Linked DNA regions of Mus musculus. The protein of the gene in region 2 interacts with the protein of the main gene of each other region in a pairwise test. Links are inferred from orthologs where the notes say so. Each region holds a gene or a part of one and is shown on either strand. Other genes may lie near its edges.

Region 1 (3,908 bases), on a different chromosome or scaffold from region 2:
TGTGATCTTAGGCTTGCTGAAGGACTAACTTCCATCAGAGCCTTGACAATATTGATTGTTTTGGCTTAAAGGTACATAAGTAGATTGATTTTTGTTTCTGCTTTCAAACTAAAAAGGATCATAGTAGTGTTAGTATATTCCTGTTTCCACTGGTTGGTATGCACAGAATGAATAAATAATGTTACTTGGAAAAATTCAGTCGATGGAAAACAAGGTGCAGGTCTTGAATTGCACTGTTAACTGGCTAGGGTGCTTCCTAAGATTGTCTATTTCTGTTCTGACCCACTATTTAGAAGAAGGAGGGGAGAGGAGAAGGAGGAGGAAAGAAGAAGGAAGAGGAGGGGGAGGGGGAGAGGAGGGGTAGGAGGGGAGAGGAAGGGGAAGGGGAAGGAGGAGGAGGAGCAGTAGTAGCAGCAGCAACAAAAATCACTTTAGTAGTTTAGGTCTGGGGTAGAGAAATGACCCCAGCAGGGAAGAAAGTGTCCTCTTGAGGAGGTTAATAACCAACAAGGCTGTCACTTCCCTCAGGAGGAAGGAAATATATTCACCAGGAGTCTCTGCTAATTTGTTTTTAATTTAAGGACAATTAAGCAACTCTACACCCCCATCCCATTTCTGCATGCTTTCTCTCACAACTAGAAAAGAAATCTAAAACAAAGAAGGCTGTGAAGTTAATGTTGAGTTTACTTGGAGGGACACCTAACAGTCATTAGGGATTTGAGGAGCTAGTCAACTAAGTCCTGTATTATACTGCTTCCTCTTTCTGAATTATTATTATTATTATTATTTACTATCCAAAATTATTACTTGCTCTGGAAACAGGTTTTAGCTGATGTGTTTCTTGAACTGTTGCAGCACAGACTACTTTAGGTTATAAAAACGTTCTGATAAGAAAAGTCTGTCTCTCTTTCTTTAGATACTCCATCTAAGAAGAAATGGAAGGAGAAGAGGAAGAAAGACCAACATTTCACCACTTGCATTTCTATACTGGCAGGTGGCGTCTTGCTTCCAACTTCTCAGAACCCCAACTCAGCATAACAGAAAGGCAAGGGGGCTCAGGGCGGTAGAGGAAGCCTGCTCCCGTGGGAGGTACACTATTTACCAGCCCGATTTAAACCCGCTACGGAGGGGGCACGGTCCTGGAAGGGCGGAGCAGCCCTAGTGGGCGGGGCGGGGGCGGGGCTCCGAGGGACTAAGCTGGGTACAGGAAAGACCGGAGCTCTCAGAGCCACGTCTGTCTCTTTAAATGCCACGGGCTGCACTCCCGCCCGGGAGCCCCGAGCCGGATCTACAATCCCGTCCCTCCCGCTCCGGCGCTTGTTGCTCGCCTAGCCCGAGCGGGAGCTGCGGCCCCCGGGAAACCCAGCTAGCTCCTTCGGCTTCCCTCCTCGTGCCCCACCTTCCTGGAAATCTGCGTGAGGGGTCGTGCAGCAACGATCGTGAACAGGCATTGCCCCCCATCTTCAAGTCTTGGGGCTCTACACAACCGCGGGGGGCGGCGAGGGAGAAATGCGTCCTTCCCCGAAGCCCAGCTTCGCCTTGGTCTGCGCTGGGAGAGGAGGCACTGCGGAGCCCACACCTGCGAACTCGCCCTAGAAGTCTCGGGTGCGGCAGGGTGCCCCTCCCGGTCCCCTAGGGCTTCTACCTCTCGGGGAGAGAGTCCGCGCAGGTAATCTGAACCCCAGGGCAGGCGCGCGGGGGAGGGGCCGACGAGCCGCAGTGACTTGCGGCAGGTGAGTCTAGTCCGGAGGCTCACCTGCCACCTCCACGCCAAGGTAGCCTAGCAGGTTCTTGGGGGTGCAGACATTGAAGGACGTCAAAGGGCTAGTTAGGATCCGGAGTGGGAGGGGAAGTTAGGAAAGAGAAGGAAATTGGAATAAAGTTTCTATTTCCTTCCCTCCCCCACTCCTGCCCAGGGTTGGCAGGTAGGGCGCGGGCGGAAGCTGTCGGAGCTGCTGATGCAATGGCTTTGGCTGGGTCCAGGTGATAGCTGGAGGAAGGGGAAAGCTGGAGTGGCCATGTCTCCAGTGATCGTGACCTTAGTGGTGTAGAAACGCGAGGAAGCACGTCCCCCAGACTTCTCCTAAAATGGCTCCAGGTGCTCGGGCCCCTACCGGTTCTTTTTCAAGAAACAAACGTCTTTTTCTGGAGTGGCACCTACAAACATCTCCCTCGTCTTCTCTTCCAACAGGTGGCTTTAGCCCCTGCCCGGGCACCAGTGCCAATGACTCTGACGGTGGTTTCGCTTTCTCCTCTTGAAGTCTTGTGAACGAGAGTCCACAGCGTAATGGGCAACCAGGTGGAAAAACTGACCCACCTAAGTTATAAGGAAGTTCCCACGGCCGACCCGACCGGCGTGGATCGAGACGATGGGCCCCGCATCGGAGTCTCTTATATTTTCTCCAATGACGACGAGGATGTGGAACCTCAGCCACCGCCCCAGGGGCTTGATGGCGGAGCTTTGTCCGACTCCGGGGATCGGCCTCCCCTGCCCCCGCCGCAGCCCTACGACCCGCGGCAGCACGAGGTGGAATGCTCGGTGTTTTATCGTGATGAGTGCATCTATCAGAAAAGCTTCGCGCCAGGATCGGCGGCTCTGAGCACCTACACACCGGAGAACTTGCTCAACAAGTGCAGTCCGGGTGACCTGGTGGAGTTTGTATCGCAGGCTCAATACCCGCACTGGGCTGTCTACGTGGGCAATTTCCAGGTGGTGCATTTGCACCGGCTGGAGGTGAGCAACAGCTTCCTGACCGATGCGAGCCAGGGCCGGCGCGGCCGCGTGGTCAACGATCTGTATCGCTACAAGCCACTGAGCCCTAGCGCTGTAGTGCGCAACGCGCTGGCCCACGTGGGCGCCAAGGAGCGCGAGCTCAGCTGGCGCAACTCCGAGAGCTTTGCGGCCTGGTGCCGCTATGGCAAACGCGAGTTCAAGATCGGTGGCGAGCTGCGCATCGGCAAGCAGCCCTACCGTTTGCAGATTCAGCTCTCGGCTCAGCGCAGCCACACTCTCGAGTTCCAGAGCCTGGAGGACTTGATCATGGAGAAGCGGCGCAACGACCAGATCGGACGCGCGGCGGTGCTACAGGAGCTCGCCACGCACCTGCACCCGGCTGAGCCGGATGAGGGCGACAGCGACGCGACTCGGACTACACCGTCCCCCCTGCGTCCCCCAGCATCGGGCTCCGAGGAGGAGAACGGAGACTCGGTCGTGCACTGATACTTGAACTGGGCTCAGAGCTACAAAAGGAAGCTGTTTGCTGCAGCCACGCCCTCTTCCTCCCGCTCTTCTCCCCCCCCCAACACTTGGGCCCCATTTAGTATTCCTGGGCCTTTTGGAAAAAGCGGAGTTGGTGAAATGTACTGCAGGCTTTGGACAGGGGAGGAGGAAGGGGACTTAGGGAGCAGGTAGGATTGGCTGGTGGGTGGCCATGGGATGCTTTTTCTTCAGGCCCTCTCAGTCCACCTTCCTTTCCCAGGTGGGGTAAAGTGGGAACTTGCTTGCGGCTTCAACCCTATCAGATCTGGGACCAAATTTAACCCTTCGTATACAAGCAGGCTTGGGGGAAATCTCAGAGCACATTTGCCCTGCATTCTGTCTCTCTGGATCCCTCACTACACTCAGCTTGGAGGATGCAGGGTACAAAGGCCGGAGAGGATTGGGGAGGAGCCGCTTCGGGTCTGCTGGGAGAACTGCTTATCTGCTTCCCCCGCTGAGCTGTGCTTGGGATCCTAGAAGCTGGAGTGATTTATTTTTATGGGATTCCCGGGGCACAAGGCTGCTGAAACTACAAGATCTGGGATCAGCAGACCAAAACCAAACAGCCCCGTATTAAGTGCAGCAAATACTTTAGCAAACTCAGGCTACAGGCTACAAAAGGATTTCACTACCTCCCCCTCCCTATCCC
Region 2 (3,908 bases):
CTTGGGAAGCAGAGGTAGGGGGACCTGTGAGTTTGTGAGTTTGAGGCCAGCCTAGTCTACAGATTGAGTTTCAGGACAACCAAGGATACACAGAAAGAAAAGAAAAAAGAAAAGAAAAGAGAAAAGAGAAAAAAGAAAAGAGAGAGAAAGAAAGAGAGAGGGGCAGGCAGTGGTGCACATGATTTTAACCCGAGCACTGGGGAGGCAGAAACAGGTGAATCAAAAATAATAATAACAATAAAGTTTTACCTTCTCCAGACCCTCAGACCTTAAAGCCCTGCTGACAGTCTCAGGAAGGGCTAAGAATCTACATGGTTCTCAACCTGTGGGTCACAACCCCTTCTGGGTGGAATGACCCTCTCTCAGGGGTCGCATATCAGATCTCCTGTATACCAGATATTTACATTACAATTTACAACAGTAGGAAAAGTACAGCTATGAATTAGCAACAAAATCATTTTATAGTTGGGGGTCACCACACCATGAGGAACTGTATTAAAGGGTCACAGTATTAGGAAGGTTGAAAACCACTTAGATACTCTAACCAGATCATTGGAGGAAAAGTAACATCCCTGCTTTCTCCAGTTTGGGAAACCATTTACCTATTTGTCCCTAAAGACTCACCTGAGCACCAGCAGCCACTTGTCCTATTAGGTATGGGACCAGAACATCAGTGAGTATGCCAAGCAGCTTGTGACTGGCCTGTGGCCTTTGGTAGAGCCATCGTTTGGCCTGAGCCATGGTGCTTGAACTGCCGCCTTCAACCATGTATGTCATTAGGGTCCACTACAAAAAGATGAGGACGGCAGACACAGGATCCCTTGTCTATTCCAGACCTAGGAGCCTGACCTCTCCATGCTCCCATCCACACCCCTGGCCGCATTACCGGAGCACCAGCAAAGCCAATTAGTGGCACACGTCCGGCCAGCCGTTGTCGAGTAAGGGTGATGGCTTGGAACACATAGCCTAACTCTGAAGCCGCTGCTGCTGGATCCCGTAGACGCTCTAAGTCCCGCTCTTCTCTTAATGGCTCTGGAAAGCTGGGTCCTTTGCCAGGTACCATGGTCACCTCCATGCCCAATGCCTTAAGGGGGATAAAATATATGGGTACACAGCCTGGAACTCAGAGGTTTCTGTTCAACGTATGCAACAAAGAAAAGACTAAAACCTCCTGCAAACTCCATCCCTAGCGTTTGCCGCTTCCCCGTTATGTATTTAAACCTGACAAGACAGAGGATTTCCAATGAGTGCCTTCCTCCCTCTCCCCTCTTTTTTTAAAGTCCACAATCCAGGATCAGGATTGAGTACCTGGGGTACAACAAGGATGTCAGAGAAAATTATGGCAGCATCCAGAGGAAACCTTCGTAGTGGCTGCAGGGAATAGCAAGTAGGTTAGTAAGGAGACACACTGGGGGCATGAACCCCACCCTGGTTCGTGGGGCCCTCACCTGTAGAGTCAGTTCACAGCAAGCCTCGGGAGATCGGCAGGTGCTGAAGAAGTCCTGGGCAGCCCTGGTTTCCCTAAACTCTACAAGGGGAGATGGAGGACAGGACTCAGCCACAAGGTCTTCCAAAGTTACTATCTTCTCCTATCTTCACCATCTAGAATTTCAGGTTTTATCTAGACCACAGCTTTGCCCCTGACCTGGTAAGTAGCGGCCTGCCTGTCTCATGCACCAAACGGGAGTATAGTCTGTTTCCTCTCCCCAGGCTGCTCTCAGGAACGTGTCATTCTTCAGCTCCGGGAAATTCTGGAGTCTGGAGATCAGGTGAAAGGTACAGGTAGGAGTAAATGTCATTATGCTAGACTGGGATTCGGGGAGGGCACCGGTCCAGTCAGGCCGTTATCTGCCTACTCCAGACCAGCTTGCAAACCATGGCTCCCCGCCCACCGCCTCCCCTCTATCAAGTGGCGCACAAGCTCCCAGGAGGAGGGCCCCACTAGGGCCTCTTTCCTACACATTTGTCCACTTTCCCAAACTCAAAGAAACTGGAGGGACTAGAGAAGTGGAATGAAGATCCAGTAAGGGGATTAGGGGAAAGGAGTTAATTTGGGGAACCGAGCGGCAAGCATGAGAAGCTGGGATCCCCAAAACGAGAAAGGATCAAAGCTGATGGTCCCAGGTGCTAGTTAGAAGTTCTGAGTCACCTCGAAAGAAAGTCTCGGGACGCAGTCCCGCACGGTAGTCCCTGGAATGGAGACTGCGGGAAGAGGGGGGGGCAGGGAGCGGGAAAGGTTCTGTTCCATGACTGCAAGATTTGGAATCTCAGCGACTTGGGTTCAGACTTGGAGAGCTCCAATAAAAATAAGAGTTTAAGGACATATCCCTGAATTGGAAGACTCGGATCAGAAAGTAACGTAGCCACAAGCGCGTGCAGCAGAAAACTCACCCGAACCCGTTCGCCTCCATGGTAAACAGTAACTGAGCGGTCTCCGCTTTAATCTGAGGCTCCGCCCCGACACCCCAGTCCCCGCCCCTTCCTGAAGAGAACCCTGGGCGGCGCCATATTGAGAACCACGTGACCGATCCAGTGACAGCTGTGGGGCTGCCCTCCCTGCTGCCCGTAGGACCCAAACAATTTTTTACCGTAAAGTCCACTGTTGCGACGCAGTAGCAAATGCCCCAAAGAAATGACTTCCCAATACATGTTAAAACTTTTCTCATCTGTGGTATAGAAGACTTAGTACAAGCCTCGCTCTCACTCCAGTCCATGAGTCTCACAATGTCGTCTAGCTGTATAGAAACCGAAGATTTTAGGCTCTACATTTACACTACTAACCAATTTGTAGAAGTGGTAAGAGTGCTGAGCAGGACAGGAACTGCTCTAGCAATCGTCTAGGAAGCCAAAATCGCATTTAAGTGGGCAACGATTATTAGTCTCCTGGAATTAGAAACAACAAATAGCATCTATCCAGAACGATTGTACATTCCTATCAGTGACTGGAAAAGGGGTCATTCTACCAAACATTTTAGTCACACGCCCCCTAGGATAGTTGAACAATTTTTATAAGATTTCTCAAGCCTGGTGTGGTGGCTCACGCTTTCAATCCCAGCAGTCGGATGGTAGAGGTGCGAGGATCTTTGAGTTTGAGGCTAACCTGATCTACAGACTGTAGTGAGTTCCAGGACAGCCAGGACTACACAGAGAAACAAAACAACACAATAACAACAAAAAGATTTCTTCAAATGTAATATTCGTTGGGGACGGGGAGACAAAGACAGGACTCCAAATCATCAGAGTGGGTCGAATAAAGACTGAACAAGGATAGTAGCACTCGGTGGCGGGTTACAAAATAGGAACACCTGACACTATGGTGGTAATAGGTTGTGCATTTAATCTAAAACATACGGTAAGGTAGGGTGGGAGGTGGGGCCGGGTGTGGTGGGAAGCTCTGCTTGCTGTCCCCTGGCTGCGGCCGGCCAGGGTTTCCCTGGACGAGTCTCACTTCAGCGGCTTCGCTATGGCCGGCCCTGGCCCCGGCGCGGCGCTTGAGTCCCCGCGGCAGCTCCTGGGTCGCGTGCGCTTCCTGGCGGAGGCGGCGCGGAGCCTCCGGGCCGGGCTGCCACTGCCTGCGGCGCTAGCTTTCGTGCCGCGGGAAGTGCTCTACAAGCTGTACAAGGACCCGGCGGGACCCTCGCGCGTGCTGCTGCCCGTGTGGGAAGCAGAGGGCCTGGGGCTGCGTGTGGGAGCCGTGGGCGCTGCCCCGGGCACAGGCTCTGGACCCCTGCGCGCCGCCCGTGACAGTATCGAGCTCCGGCGCGGCGCCTGTGTGCGCACCACTGGCGAGGAGCTGTGCAACGGCCACGGGCTCTGGGTGAAGTTGACCAAGGTGCGCCCCGGATGGCAGGGACCCCACAAAAGACCCCCTGGATCTAGCCAGAGCCCTGGTTGTTCCGCCCCCTTAT

What was found.
Region 1: the proteins of Urod (region 2) and Lratd2 interact in binary tests that used the Homo sapiens proteins (3 or more experiments, as listed by UniProt). The two-hybrid records come from large-scale screens. The link is inferred for Mus musculus from reciprocal best matches to the Homo sapiens genes UROD and LRATD2.

The regions. Positions count from the first base shown.
Region 1 is NC_000081.6:60,822,275-60,826,182, reverse strand, and holds the start of Lratd2 (protein LRATD2), read left to right. Parts: upstream 1-1,102; 5' UTR 1,103-1,669; exon of another isoform or gene 1,670-2,191; 5' UTR 2,192-2,287; coding exon 2,288-3,220; 3' UTR 3,221-3,908.
Region 2 is NC_000070.6:116,991,940-116,995,847, forward strand, and holds the start of Urod (uroporphyrinogen decarboxylase), read right to left. Parts: upstream 2,475-3,908; 5' UTR 2,412-2,474; coding exon 2,392-2,411; intron 1,759-2,391; coding exon 1,646-1,758; intron 1,529-1,645; coding exon 1,449-1,528; intron 1,372-1,448; coding exon 1,309-1,371; intron 1,085-1,308; coding exon 887-1,084; intron 787-886; coding exon 625-786; intron 1-624. Other genes in the region: E3 ubiquitin-protein ligase HECTD3, read left to right, coding at 3,464-3,832. UniProt on the Homo sapiens protein: Catalyzes the sequential decarboxylation of the four acetate side chains of uroporphyrinogen to form coproporphyrinogen and participates in the fifth step in the heme biosynthetic pathway.